2 linked regions of the Stegostoma tigrinum genome follow. The protein of the gene in region 2 interacts with the protein of the main gene of each other region in a pairwise test. Links are inferred from orthologs where the notes say so. Each region holds a gene or a part of one and is shown on either strand. Other genes may lie near its edges.

Region 1 (7,286 bases), on a different chromosome or scaffold from region 2:
AACACAGCAGGCAGCTTAGGAGCACTAAAGCTGACATTTCGGGCCTAGACCCTTCATCAGAAAGGCTGCACTGTCCTGGATGGCGTCAAGCTTCTTGAGCGTTGTTGGAACTGCCCCCATCCAGGGGCAAGTGGGGAATATTCCCTCACACTCCTGACTTGTGCCTGATCGTGAACCAGCTTTGAGGAATCAGGAGGGGAGTTACACGTCACACTATTCCTAGCTTCTGATTTCGCCTTGTAGCTGCTGTGTTTATGCGGCAATTCAAGTTGATTTTCCAGTCAATGGTAACTCCTTGAATATCAAGGGGTGATGGTTAAATTGTCTTTTATTGGAGTTGGTTATTGCCTGGTGTTTCTGTGGCACAAATGACAACTACCAGTGTAATAGGGCAGCCCGATCCCCACCAATATTGGCTCTATTGTAATACAGTGGCAGCCCTGCCACAATCCAGGCTATACGCCAGTGTTACATAATAACAGGTTTGTCCTCAGCAATTGGTAGAAGTAATTCTTCGCCCCAATTATTTTGTGACTGACCGTGGCATCATCGCTGAAGTTCTTGGTATCTCAAGACCTCGAATGCAGGTTCCACTGCACATTGCTAGTGCCTGGGCACCAGCTTCCAGGTCTCACTATTTGGCATGACTCTCTGTGCAGAGCTCCCACTGACATATCAGGCCCACATTACGCAATGTCATCACTACCCCCATGGCCTGCATTCTTGACTGGGTCTCATCCATCACCTAACGTTCTCCCGCCTTCATTCATTTCTCTCCTCCCATAACTCAGTGTCCATGCTATAACACCGACACTCATCACCCACCCAGCTCCTCCCTCTTCAGTACCCAGCATTGAATTCTACCCCCACCATGCAGGTTCAGAATTTACCCTCCAGTGCCCATCACCCAATGCCTGCTTTCCCACCCCGCCATCACCATACCAATCACACCGCCCTACAGTGACCATCAGTCCTCACCTGTGCTGTCAGGTGTGTAACCTCTTCCCCCAATGCCCCCTACCTGTGTGTCATTTACTCCTCACAATAACACACTGCCACCTGTGGATCCACCTGGCCCAGTACTAGATTCCTCGCCGTGTGCCTCCTCATCTTTGGATCATTCTACACTGGTCTGGCTGTTCAAAGACCCCTATAACCTCAGTTCTCCCTCTCACGACCAAACCCCCACCCAGCTACCCCCCAAACTTGAAGTCAGTCTCATAATAGCATTGCTAACTGCAGACCACCCCCCCCTGCTCCCCTATACCCAGAAAGGAGGGGGGATCTTTCTTGTAATGTCTTCAGAGTCCTCCAAAACATTCTGTACTGCCCCTCCCACCATCATGCTCTCACCCCTCCCAGGTATCTCCTCACCATGGGGTCATAGAGTCAAATGTACAACACAGAACCAGACCTTTCAGTCCAACTCCAACAGAATTTAAGCACTCCTTGTATTTCGGTATTCCAAAAGTCATTCTCATAATAGTGCTGCTTACTGTATATCTATCATGTACCTTCCTCCATCTCTGCCCTAACAGTGACCTTGGGGTCCTTTCATAACAAGAAGGCAGCTCACCGCCACCTTAAGGGCAACTAGGGATAGGCAACAAATGCTGGGCCAGGCAGCGACACCCACATCCCACAAATGAATAGCAAAAAAAATAGTATTGCTAGGCACAGAAGCCCTGTTTCTTCCCATTCCAGGAACCCTCACCCACTGTCACATACGCCTAACTCCCATCACACTACACCTCTGCTCTTCTATACCCCCTTCCCCACCACCTCCTCCCATCGATACCCTCTTCCATTTCATGTCCCTATATCAGACCCGTCATACCCTTCTCCCCTTCCATATCCATGTTCTCCACTCCACCCCCTCTGTATCCCCCATTCCCAGCCTCCATCCTCTATCCCCCTCCCCCTCCTCTCCTCATATCCCCCTTCTCCCTCTGAATCCCCCTCTTCCTCCATATACCCCTTCCACATTGCCTGCCTCCCATTCCATATCCCCCTTTTGCATCTCCCCCTTCCTCCATATCCTCTCAGTATCGTCTCTTCCATACTCCTCCATATCCACCTCCTCTGTATCCTCTATAGCCACGCCAGATCACTCCTTCCTTCCATTAACCCCCCCTCCTCCTCCTCCTCACATCCCCTGTATCCTCCTCCTCACACCCCCTGTATCCTCCTCCTCCCCTCATCCCCTGTATCCTCCTCCCAACCCCTGTATCCTCCCCTCATCCCCTGTATCCTCCTCCCAACCCCTGTATCCTCCTCCCATCCCCTGTATCCTCCTCCTCCCATCCCCTGTATCCTCCTCCTCCTCCTCCCCCCATCCCCTGTATCCTCCTCCTCCCCCATCCCCTGTATCCTCCTCCTCCCCCATCCCCTGTATCCTCCTCCTCCCCCATCCCCTGTATCCTCCTCCTCCTCCCATCCCCCTGTATCCTCCTCCTCCCCCATCCCCTGTATCCTCCTCCTCCTCCCCCATCCCCTGTATCCTCCTCCTCCTCCTCCCCCCATCCCCTGGATCATCCCCCTCCCATTACCCCGTACCTCCCATCCCGGGTGTCCTCTCCCTCCCAGCCCCCCGCGCTCCCGCTGCCCCCGCTGACCTTGGGGTCCTTCTCATAGTAGTACTGCTGGGTGCGGATCCAGCGGCCGACGAGGTGGTCCCGGACGGTGTGGGCCAGCGCCAGGTAGTAGTCGCGGGGGGTCGCCACATTGCGGTCCTTCACCAGCGTGAAGTGCAGGTGCCGGTTGAAGTTCTTCTTCAGGTCGGCGACATTCTCCACGCCGGCCAGGCCCCTCACACTGATCTGCTTCCTCCTCTCCACGTCGGTCTGCGGCCGGGACATGATGCTGTGTGTGTGTGTGTGTGTGTGTCTCTGTCTGTCCCTCAGCCCCCACCCCCCAACACCCCTCTGTCACCGCCTTTTAACCGACTGTTAGTCTCCTCCCGCCAGCCGCTCAGCGCGCGACTCATCAATATTCAACGGCCCGCTTCATCAATATGTACATCCCGGCCATCCATATGCATTAGCATTCCCGAACCCCCTTCGTTAAACACATGGCGTCATTTGCATGGACACGCCCCTTTGTTTTACATATCCCGTCCCCTGATGCGCCAAGCCTCCTTAACATGTATCCCCGCCCCCCCTTATCTGCATAGACCGTGCCCCACCCCCTTCACGCCTCGTCTCCGCCCCTCCACTTTCCTCCAACCCTACGCGGCGACGGTGGACCCGCAAGGCACGACGGGGTATGTAGTCCTTCGCCCCCCATTCTTCCCGTCGTTCTAGTTTATGTCTCAAAATGAGAGGGACTACGACGGCCGGTAATGCGCCTGCGCACGTCCGCCCACAGCCTGGCCGTCGCATCGGCCGCCTTGCTGGAACAAGCCACTCTGGGATTTCTGGGATTTGTAGTCCACCCTGTTCCAGTTCCCACCTCTTCTCTACGACCGTTCCGAAACAAGCAGACTACACTTCCCGGCGGGCTCACGCCCACCGGCCCTGAGCCTTGATTGACAGATGAGTCCAGAGCCCCAGGAGGATCGTGCCCGGTCTCACGTTCCTCCTCCTCTTGGGCTGCAACTCAAGCCGAGGCACTCCTGCGTTAAAGCACGATGCTATTTCAAGACCCTTCCCTTCCCATCAAATAGCCCCAAATGTCACAGGTTCACAATGTCTGAAGATATCCTTTGCAAAGTAAAAAAATACACCAGCCTGCACATTTTATGCAGACTGAGCCAGAGCGAGAGGAAAGAAATGCAATGGGAAAAATAAACCTTTGCAAAGTCAAATAATTGCCTAAATATTTAGGGGATATTCTGGATTGTGCTTCACTTGTCTGGGGGTTTGTTGGCATTTATTGCCTGGCTCCATTTGCACTGGAGAAGGTGGTGACGAACCGGCTTCTTGAACTGCTGCAGTCCATACAGGGTGTGCGAAGCAGGGAAGGAGGGATGGCTGGTTTCAGCTAAGGTCACAGGGGGTTGGGGCAGGGACCCTGCACCTTTATTTAATCAGGTGCATCTCAGTGTTCTGCTGACAGGGGACTCCTTGTAGAGGGAGTTGTCACTGATCAATGAAGATGTATGAACTGGAGATATTTTGTATGACAGCAACGATCAAATCTCCAGTTTATTTCTGGCTTCTCAGATGCCCAGTCAGGAGAAAAATACCCTTACAGTCATGGTGTCATAGAGATGTGCAGCCCAGACACAGACCCTTTGGTCCAACTCGTCCATGCCAACCAGATATCCTAAATTAATCCAGTCCCATCTTGCCAGCATTTGGGCCCATATCCCTGTAAACCCTTCCAGTTCATGTCTCCATCCAGATGCCTTTTAAATGTTGTAATTGTACCAGCCCCCACCACTTCCTCTGGCAGCTCATTCCATACACGCACCACCCTCAGTGTGAAAAAGTTGCCCTTTAGGTCCCTTTTAAACCTGTCCCCCTCTCACCTCAAACCTATGCCCCTCTAGTTGTGGACTCCCCTACCCTGGGGAAAAAGACCTTGGCTATTCACCCTATCCATGCCCCTCATGCTTTTCTGAACCTTTTCAAGTTTCACAACATCCTTCCTGTAGCAGGGAGACCAGAATTGAACACAGTATTCCAAAAGTGGCCCTAACCAATGTCCTGTACAGCCGCAACATGACCCTCCCAGCTCCTACACTCAATGCACTGACCAATAAAGGCCAGCGTCCCAAACACCTTCTTCTTCACCGCCCTGTCTACCTGCAACTCCACTTTCAAGGAGCTAGGAACCTGCACTCCAAGGTCTCGGTGTTTGGCGACACTCCCCAGGACCTCACCATTAAGTGTATAAGTCCTGCCCTGCTTTGCGGTGCCAAAATTTAACTGCTCCTGAATTGGAGGGAAGTGTCAGTGTGGGGTGGAGGAGGTGAGAGGAAATGACTCAAAACACTCAGCAAGAAATTGAACCTGATATTCAGAGCAGCATTGTGGGCGGGAGGGCACTGCCTTGGTGCTGTTCTGAAAGAATTTGCTTGGGATTTTTCACTCATGAGCTCCACCGCCAGCCCCATCAGCTTAATTGCCCTCAAATACTAACGGTCCCACGTCACCTCCTGCTGCCTAGCTTGGACTGATATTATTAAGTTCTTAGTGCCAACTGCTGTCAATAACCTCCCCTACCCTTTCACACCACCCTACGTCTGGGTTCCTGGTCCTCACCTAAACTAGATTCCCTTGAATCCCTTTCCAGTGGGCACAGACTTCTGAGGGTCAATGCTGGACAGGCTCTCTGCTGCCTCACGGCGCCAGGGACCCGGGTTCGATCCCACCCTTGGGTGACTGTCTGTGTGGAGTTTGCACATTCTCCCCGTGTCTGTGTGGGTTTCCTCCGGGTGCTCCGGTTTCCTCCCACAGTCCAAAGATGTGCAGGTTAGGGTGGATTGGCCATGCTAAATTGTCCCATAGTGCCCACGGATGTGCAGGTTAGGGTGGATTGGCCGTGTTAAATTGTCCCATAGTGCCCAGGGATGTGCGGGTTAGGGTGGATTGGCCGTGCTAAATTGTCCCATAGTGTCCCAGGGATGTGCGGGTTAGGGTGGATTGGCCGTGCTAAATTGTCCCATAGTGCCCACGGATGTGCAGGTTAGGGTGGATTAGCCGTGTTAAATTGTCCCACAGTGCCCAGGGATGTGCGGGTTAGGGTGGATTGGCCGTGCTAAATTGTCCCATAGTGTCCCAGGGATGTGCGGGTTAGGGTGGATTGGCCGTGCTAAATTGTCCCATAGTGCCCAGGGATGTGCGGGTTAGGGTGGATTGGCCGTGCTAAATTGTCCCATAGTGCCCGGGGATGTGCGGGTTAGGGTGGATTGGCCGTGCTAAATTGTCCCATAGTGCCCAGGGATGTGCAGGTTAGGGAGGGATTGGCCGTGCTAAATTGTCCCATAGTGCCCAGGGATGTGCGGGTTAGGGTGGATTGGCCGTGCTAAATTGTCCCGTAGTGCCCAGGGATGTGCGGGTTAGGGTGGATTGGCCGTGCTAAATTGTCCCATAGTGCCCAGGGATGAGCAGGTTAGGGTGGGTTGGCCGTGCTAAATTGTCCCATAGTGCACAGGGATGTACAGGTTAGGGTGGATTGGCCGTGCTAAATTGTCCCATAGTGTCCAGGGATGTGCGGGTTAGGGTGGATTGGCCGTGCTAAACTGTCCAATCGTGCCCAGGGATGAGCAGGTTAGGGTGGGTTGGCCGTGCTAAATTGTCCCATAGTGCACAGGGATGTACAGGTTAGGGTGGATTGGCCGTGCTAAATTGTTCCATAGTGCCCAGGGATGTGCAGGTTAGTGTGGATTGGCCGTGCTAAATTGTTCTATAGTGCCCAGGGATGTGCAGGTTAGGGCGGATTGGCCGTGCTAAATTGTCCCATAGTGCCCAGGGATGTGCAGGTTAGGGTGGATTGGCCGTGCTAAATTGTTCCATAGTGCCCAGGGATGTGCAGGTTAGGGTGGATTGGCCGTGCTAAATTGTCCCATAGTGCCTAGGGATGTGTAGGTTAGGGTGGATTGGCCGTGCTAAATTGTCCCATAGTGCCCAGGGATGTGCAGGTTAGGGTGGATTGGCCGTGCTAAATTGTCCCATAGTGTCCAGGGATGTGTAGGTTAGGGTGGATTGGCCGTGCTAAATTGTCCCATAGTGTCCAGGGATGTGCAGGTTAGGGTGGATTGGCCGTGCTAAATTGTCCCATAGTGCCCAGGGATGTGCGGGTTAGGGTGGATTGGCCGTGCTAAATTGTCCCATAGTGCCCAGGGATGTGCGGGTTTGGGTGGATTGGCCGTGCTAACTTGCCCCATAGTGCCCAGGGATGTGCGGGTTAGGGTGGATTGGCTGTGCTAAATTGTCCCACAGTGCACAGGGATGTGCAGGTTAGGGTGGATTGGCCGTGCTAAATGTCCCGTAGTGCCCAGGGATGTGCAGGTTAGGGTGGATTGGCCGTGGGAATTGCAGGATTACAGGTAAGGCAAGAGGTGGGATGGTCTTTGGACAGTCAGTGTAGACTCGATGGGCCGGAATGGCCTGCTTCCTCCCTGTGGAGATTCCATGAGTCTCTTTTTCCCAGGATTCTGTATTATTTATCATTCTTCCTGGGATATTGGCATCACTGACTGAGCCCAGCATTTACCATAAATTCCTAGTAACACCTTGAACTGAGTGGCTTGCTCCAAGGGCAATTAAGAGTCAAGGCCACACTGCGGGTCTGGAGTCACATGTGGGCTCAGGCCGGACCCTTCCCTCAAACACAGCAGT
Region 2 (7,170 bases):
AAGGGAAGTGAGGGACAGTGTAAAAGCAAAAGAAAAAGCAAACTGTGGGAAGGCAGAGGTTTGGGAAACCTTTAAAACCTGCAGAGGATGACTATAAAAGCAAATGAAAGGAGAAAATGAAATTTGAGGTTAAGCTATCAAGTAGGATAAAATAATAAGAGAAACAAGAGTGGACATTGGATTACCAACAAATGTGGCTGGAGAAGTAGTAATGTGGAACAAAGAAAAGTAATAGGAATTAATTAGATATTTTGCATCAGCGTTCATGATGCAAGACATGGGTAGCATACCAGAACTTCAAGAGAGTCTACTGAGGTGAGAGTAGTGGCCAACTCTAAGGAGGTGTTGGAGAAGCTGAAAGGTCTGAAGATGTATAAATCTCCTGGACCGGATGGACTACACCCCAAAGTCATGAAGGATATTGTGAAGGTATTGCTGGTGATCTTTCAGGAATCACTGGAATCAGGGAGGGTCCCAGAGGATTGGAGAATGGCTAATGGAACATGCCTGTTTAAGAAGGGAGGGATGTAGAAGATAGGAAATTATAGGCTAGTTAGCCTGACTACAGACTTTGTTAAGATTTTACAGCATTTTTAAAAATGAGTTTGTGGAGTACTTGGAAGTGCATGGGTAAAAGAAGTTAGACAAAGGAGAGCCAGTGGATATGATCTGTTTGAATTTCCAAAAGATCTTTGACAAGGTGCTGCACAGGAGACTGCTAAATAAGAGCCTGTAGTGTTAGGGACAAGGTACTGATGTGGATAAAAGACTAACTGACTGGCAGAAAGCAAGATAAAGGAGTCTTTTTCAATATGGCATTCAGTGATTGGTGGATTCTGCAGGGATCAGTGTTGTGACCACAACTTTTCAAGTTATACATTAATGATCTAGATGAAGAAACTGAGGGCATTGTTGGTATGTTTGCCAATGATGCAAAGATAGGTGGAGGGACAGGTAGTGTTGAGGATGTGGGGTGGCTGCATAAGGACTTGGGCAAGACAGGAGAGTGTATTCCATCTGCCACTTCTTTTCTCAATGTGGGGAAAGTGAGAGGTTATACACTTTGGTAAGAAGAATAGGGACTATTTTCTAAATGGGAAAAGCCTTCAGGAATCTGAAGCACAAAAAGACTTAGGCTTCCTAGTTCAGGATTCTTCTAAGGTTAACAGTTCAGTTTGAAGGATGTCTGGCCTTGCAGGGGATCCAAAAGAGGTTTACAAAAATGATCCAGGTGTGAAGGGCTTGTTTTTGAGGTGGAGTTGAGGATTCTGGGTCTGTATTCCATGGAGTGTGGAAGGAAATGAGGAGCGTATCTCATCAAAACTTACAAAATTCTGAGAGGCCTGGATACAGTGGATGTGGAGATATTTCCACCGATAGGAGAGACTAGGACCTGAGAAAACAACCTCAAACTGAAGGGTCAAATTGTTTGAACTAAGATGAGGAGGAATTCCTTCAGCCAGAGGGTGGTGAATTCATGCAACACGTTGCAGTAGAAGGCTGTAGAGACCAAGTCATTGAGCGTATTTACGACAGGGATAGATAGGCTCTTGATTAGTGAGGGGATTGAGAGTTTGGGGAAGGCAGGAGAATGGAGTTGAGAAACATATCATGTACTGAATGGTGGAGCAAAAGCAATGGGCCGAATGGCCTAATTTTGCTTCAATGTCTTATCTTCTGTGCTTAAGATTTTGTCCATTACCCGGGAGTGAATACATTACTTCAAAGCCCTATTTGTGATTGTAGACCCCTTGTTGAGAAATTGAACTCTATTTATGCAATTTCATTTTTTATTCCTTTTGTAGTCTGGAGGCTAAGTGCTGGGGCAGAATGTGGTGAAAAGGCAGTAGTTTAGAATATTTTATTCCTATGAGTTTGCATTTTTCCAATTTATTCCTAAGAATCTGTGCCTAGGTACCAAGACACCTAAGATGGCACCGCCAAGTGCAGTATATGTAACAATAAAGCTAATTCTAATTCTGTGTAAGGTAGTAAACATGATAATTGATCAGGCTAATATTGAGCATTTGAACTTATTAGTCAAACTCCCACAGTATTACACTTGGACAATCAAGGGAAAAAGTATTCTTCAGGAAAAGCAGTTTGTTTACTTTTACATTTTGCCACTTTAAACTCCAATGTTTACAGTAACAATTGAACTATCCAATCTAAATTTGCATTACTGTATTTACAGTCTCATGAATGATTTTTGGTAGTATCCTAGATTATGAAGAAATTTGTTAGGATATTGTTAATTTGTGCTACAAATATGCATTTGTTTTCCCTCTGACCCTCAGATGACCAAAACAGTCTTGTAAAACATTGGAATCCTGTGACTTACCCAGAACTGTCAATATGAAAAATATCGTTATTAAGGTGACCTTTAAGGTGCACCGTCTGTTGCCAGATATTGACAAATGGCCACTGGTCCCAAATACAGGTTTACACCTGAGTAGCTTAAAAACCTTTAGTGTTGGAAATCTTCTTCGACATTGTCAAGTCTTTCCCTTTTTCAGATTTTTATTTCATTTCAGATAAATGATCCTTTGAACTTTTATCCTTAAAGTTCCAAATGAACTATCCTAAACGACTTCATTGTTTTTCCCTTTCCCTGCCGTTTGAAATTAGGATTTATTGCACAATTTACGTATAGTCGCTCAAGGAATTCAAACAACTGATTACACCGTGTTCACTTCGATCTACCGTCTGGAGATGTCTACATCTCCACGTTGCATGAATCAAAGACTGTGTAAATGGTTTAAGCAGTCTTCTCTTAAACCTTGATAGATCGGCCTGAGCATATTCTCAGGGGTTTTCTCAATGAGGAAGAAAGGGAGATGAACAGAAAATGAGTGCGATGTCGAGGAAGCCTCATTCTGAAGAAGGGTCATCGGACCGGTTAACTCCACTTTTTCTCTCCATAGATGCTGCCAGACCTGCTGAGTTTCTCCAGCAGCTTTTGTATCAGATTTCCAGCATCCGCAGTTCTTTGTTTTAAGGAGCCATCGTTGACGGGGTTTTAATACCAAACTCCCATCCTGAGAGAACAACTGGCCGTTAACACCAACGTCTCAGCTTCTCTTCCGGCGCACTCGCCTCAGACTGCGCATGCGGGCGGGGTGTAACCTGTGTTTCCGGGTCAGCCGGATGTGTTGGGATCACCAGTTCTTTGGAGGTCCTTGTCCGAGTCCGCAGTGGATTCGGTCCCTCCGCTTTTTCAGGATATGGGCGCAGAGAGCAGTGCGGCCCGGAGTTGCCGGCTCGAAGAGCCGCCGGTCACTCTGCCCGCCGGTCTCAGCGTCTATCGGGCGGTTCTGGAGGAAGAGCGGCTGGTGTCCGTGTTCATCTATCAGCGGGGCAACGAGGAGGCCGTCAACAAGGCAGCCAAGGTAGAGTGGCCCTAGGCGGCTTCTACCGCCCTGAGGGTGGGATGTGTGAGTAAGGATGTTTCTGCCCCAGCCCCAGCCTCTACCCTTACCCCAAAGTTTGGGATTGATTCCGCCCCGACCGTGGGAGGTCGGTGGGCAAGTGGTTCGATGCTGCCCCTCCACCTGTCCTGAGAGTTATGTTTTGGAGGGGGTGTGTCTTGCCCCTCGTGGAGGAGTAGGCTGAGAAAGACTCTACACTTGAAGTCAGAGATGTACAGCACGGCAATAGACCCTTTGGTTCAATTCATCCACGCCAACCAAATATCTTAAATTGATAGAGTACCGTTTGCCAGCATTTAGCCCATTTCCCTCTAAACCCATCATGTTCATATACTCATGCAGATGTCTTTCAAATGCTATAATTGTACCAGCCTGAACCATTCTAATCATACTTAATCCTTCCTTTGTGATCGCTAGGTCTTTTGCTGAGATATTTGCATCATCAGTAGCCACAGGTGACATGCTGAAAGACCCAATGGTTGGCTAACGTGATGCCATTATTTAGGAAAGGGGTTAAGGAAAAGCCAGGGAAATGTAGACTGGTGTGTCTGACATCAGTGATGGGCAAGTCTTCAGAGGTGATTCTGAGGGACAAAATTTACATGGATGAGGAAAGGTAAGGACTGATTAGACATAGTAAACATGGCTCTGTTCATGGGAAATCGTGTCTAACTAACTTGATTAAATTTTTGGAGAAGTGACAAAGAGGACTGATGGCAAAATGGCTTTTTTTCTATGTGGACTTCATTAAGGCCTCTGACAAGGAGCTGCATGGTAGACTGAGCAATAAGGTTAGATCACATGGAATACAGGGAGAATTAGCCATTTGGATACAGAACTGACTTGAAGGCAGGAGACAATGTGGTGGTGCTTTTTGGACTGGAGGCTTGTGACCAGCAGTGTGCTGCAAGGACTGATAGTGTGTCCACTGTTTTTTGTTATTTACATAAATGATTTGGATGTGCAGATAGGAGATATGGTTAGTTAGTTTGCAAATGACACCAAAGTTGGTGGTGTTGAGTACAGCAAAGAAGGTTGCCCCCATAGTACAATGGCACCTTAATCAGATGGGCTAAGGAGTGGCAGATGAAGTTTAACTTAGGTAAATGGGAGGTGCTGCATTTTGGTACGGCAAATCAGGGTGGGATTTATAAGGTCCTGGAGAGTCTTGATGAACAAAGAGACCTTGAAGTGCTGTTTCATAGTTCCTTGAAAGAGAAGTTACAGGTAGACAGGATAGTGGAAGAAAACATTTAGTAAGCTTGCTTTTATTGTTCATTGCATTGAGTTTAGGAGTTGGGAGATGATGCTTTGGCTATAAAGGACCTTGGTTAGGCCACTTTTGGAAGACTGCATTCAGTTCTAGTCTAGGATAATGAAGTGTGAAGCTGGATGAACACAGCAGGCCAAGCAGCATCTCAGGAGCACAAAAGCTGATGTTTCAGGCCTAGACCCTTCATCAGAGAGGGGGATGGGGTGAGGGTTCTGGAATAAATAGAGAGAGGGGGTGGCGGACCAAAGATGGAGAGAAAAGATGATAGGTGGAGAGGTAGGGAGGGGATAGGTCAGTCCAGGGAAGACGGACAGGTCGAGGAGGTGGGATGAGGCTGATAGGTAGGAAATGGAGGTGCGGCTTGGGGTGGGAGGAAGGGATGGTTGAGAGGAAGAACAGGTTAGGGAGGCAGAGACAGGCTGGGCTGGTTTTGGGATGCAGTGGGTGGAGGGGATGAGCTGGGCTGGGTGTGTGATACAGTGGGGGAAGGGGAGATTTTGAAGCTGAAGTCCACATTGATACCATTGGGCTGCAGGGTTCCCAAGCAGAATATGAGTTGCTGTTCCTGCAACCTTCGGGTGGCATCATTGTGGCACTGCAGGAGGCCCATGTTGGACATGTCGTCTGAGGAATGGGAGGGGGAGTTGAAATGGTTAGCGACTGGGAGGTGCAGTTGTTTATTGCGAACCGAGCGGAGGTGTTCTGCAAAGCAGTCCCCAAGCCTCCGCTTGGTTTCCCCAATGTAGAGGAAGCCACACCGTGTACAATAGATACAGTATACCACATTGGCAGATGTGCAGGTGAACCTCTGCTTAATATGGAAAGACCGCAACTTTCCCCCCACAGTGGTCGAGAACGCCCTTGACCGCGTCTCCCGCATTTCCCGCAACACATCCCTCACACCCCGCCCCCGTCACAACCGCCCAAAGAGGATCCCCCTCGTTCTCACACACCACCCCACCAACCTCCGGATACAACGCATCATCCTCTGACACTTCCGCCATCTACAATCCGACCCCACCACCCAAGACATTTTTCCATCCCCACCCTTGTCTCCTTTCCGGAGAGACCACTCTCTCCGTGACTCCCTTGTTCGCTCCACACTGCCCTCCAACCCCACCACACCCGGCACCTTCCCCTGCAACCGCAGGAAGTGCTACACTCACCCCCACACCTCCTCCCTCACCCCCACACCTCCTCCCTCACCCCCACACCTCCTCCCTCACCCCCACACCTCCTCCCTCACCCCCACACCTCCTCCCTCACCCCCACACCACCTCCCTCACCCCCACACCACCTCCCTCACCCCCACACCTCCTCCCTCACCCCCACACCTCCTCCCTCACCCCCACACCTCCTCCCTCACCCCCACACCTCCTCCCTCACCCCCACACCTCCTCCCTCACCCCCACACCTCCTCCCTCACCCCCACACCTCCTCCCTCACCCCCACACCTCCTCCCTCACCCCCACACCTCCTCCCTCACCCCCACACCTCCTCCCTCACCCCCACACCTCCTCCCTCACCCCCACACCTCCTCCCTCACCCCCACACCTCCTCCCTCACCCCCACACCTCCTCCCTCACCCCCACACCTCCTCCCTCACCCCCACACCTCCTCCCTCACCCCCACACCTCCTCCCTCACCCCCATCCCAGGCCCCAAGATGACTTTCCATATTAAGCAGAGGTTCACCTGCACATCTGCCAATGTGGTATACTGCATCCATTGTACCCGCTGTGGCTTCCTCTACATTGGGGAAACCAAGCAGAGGCTTGGGGACCGCTTTGCAGAACACCTCTGCTCGGTTCGCAATAAACAACTGCACCTCCCAGTCGCTAACCATTTCAACTCCCCCCTCCCATTCTTTAGATGACATGTCCATCATGGGGCTCCTGCAGTGTCACAATGATGCCACCCGAGGGTTGCAGGAACAGCAACTCATATTCCGCTTGGGAACCCTGCAGCCCAATGGTATCAATGTGGACTTCACCAGCTTCAAAATCTCCCCTTCCCCCACAGCATCGCAAAACCAGCCCAGCCTGTCTCTGCCTCCCTAACCTGTTCTTCCTCTCACTCATCCCTTCCTCCCACCTCAAGCCGCACCTCCATTTCCTACCTATCAGCCTCATCCCACCTCCTTGACCTGTCCGTCTTCCCTGGACTGACCAATCCCCTCCCTACCTCCCCACCAATACTCTCCTCTCCACCTATCATCTTTTCTCTCCATCTTTGGTCTGCCTCCCCCCCCCCCCCCCTCCCTATTTATTCCAGAACCCTCACCCCATCCCCCTCTCTGATGAAGGGTGTAGGCCCGAAACTTCAGCTTTTGTGCTCCTGAGATGCTGCTTGGCCTGCTGTGTTCATCCAGGTTCACACTTTATTATCCTGGATTCTCCAGTGTCTGCAGTTCCCATTATCTCTGATTCAGTTCTAGTCTCCTTGCTATAGGAAGGATACTGTTAAACTT

The links.
Region 1: the proteins of 5'-AMP-activated protein kinase subunit beta-2-like (region 2) and glycogen phosphorylase, muscle form interact in binary tests that used the Homo sapiens proteins (3 or more experiments, as listed by UniProt). The link is inferred for Stegostoma tigrinum from reciprocal best matches to the Homo sapiens genes PRKAB2 and PYGM.

The regions. Positions count from the first base shown.
Region 1 is NC_081395.1:11,084,745-11,092,030, forward strand, and holds the start of glycogen phosphorylase, muscle form, read right to left. Parts: upstream 3,095-7,286; 5' UTR 2,859-3,094; coding exon 2,616-2,858; intron 1-2,615. UniProt on the Homo sapiens protein: Allosteric enzyme that catalyzes the rate-limiting step in glycogen catabolism, the phosphorolytic cleavage of glycogen to produce glucose-1-phosphate, and plays a central role in maintaining cellular and organismal glucose homeostasis.
Region 2 is NC_081361.1:47,764,293-47,771,462, forward strand, and holds the start of 5'-AMP-activated protein kinase subunit beta-2-like, read right to left. Parts: upstream 3,092-7,170; 5' UTR 2,342-3,091; intron 1-2,341. Other genes in the region: scyl3 (protein-associating with the carboxyl-terminal domain of ezrin), read left to right, coding at 3,225-3,389. UniProt on the Homo sapiens protein: Non-catalytic subunit of AMP-activated protein kinase (AMPK), an energy sensor protein kinase that plays a key role in regulating cellular energy metabolism.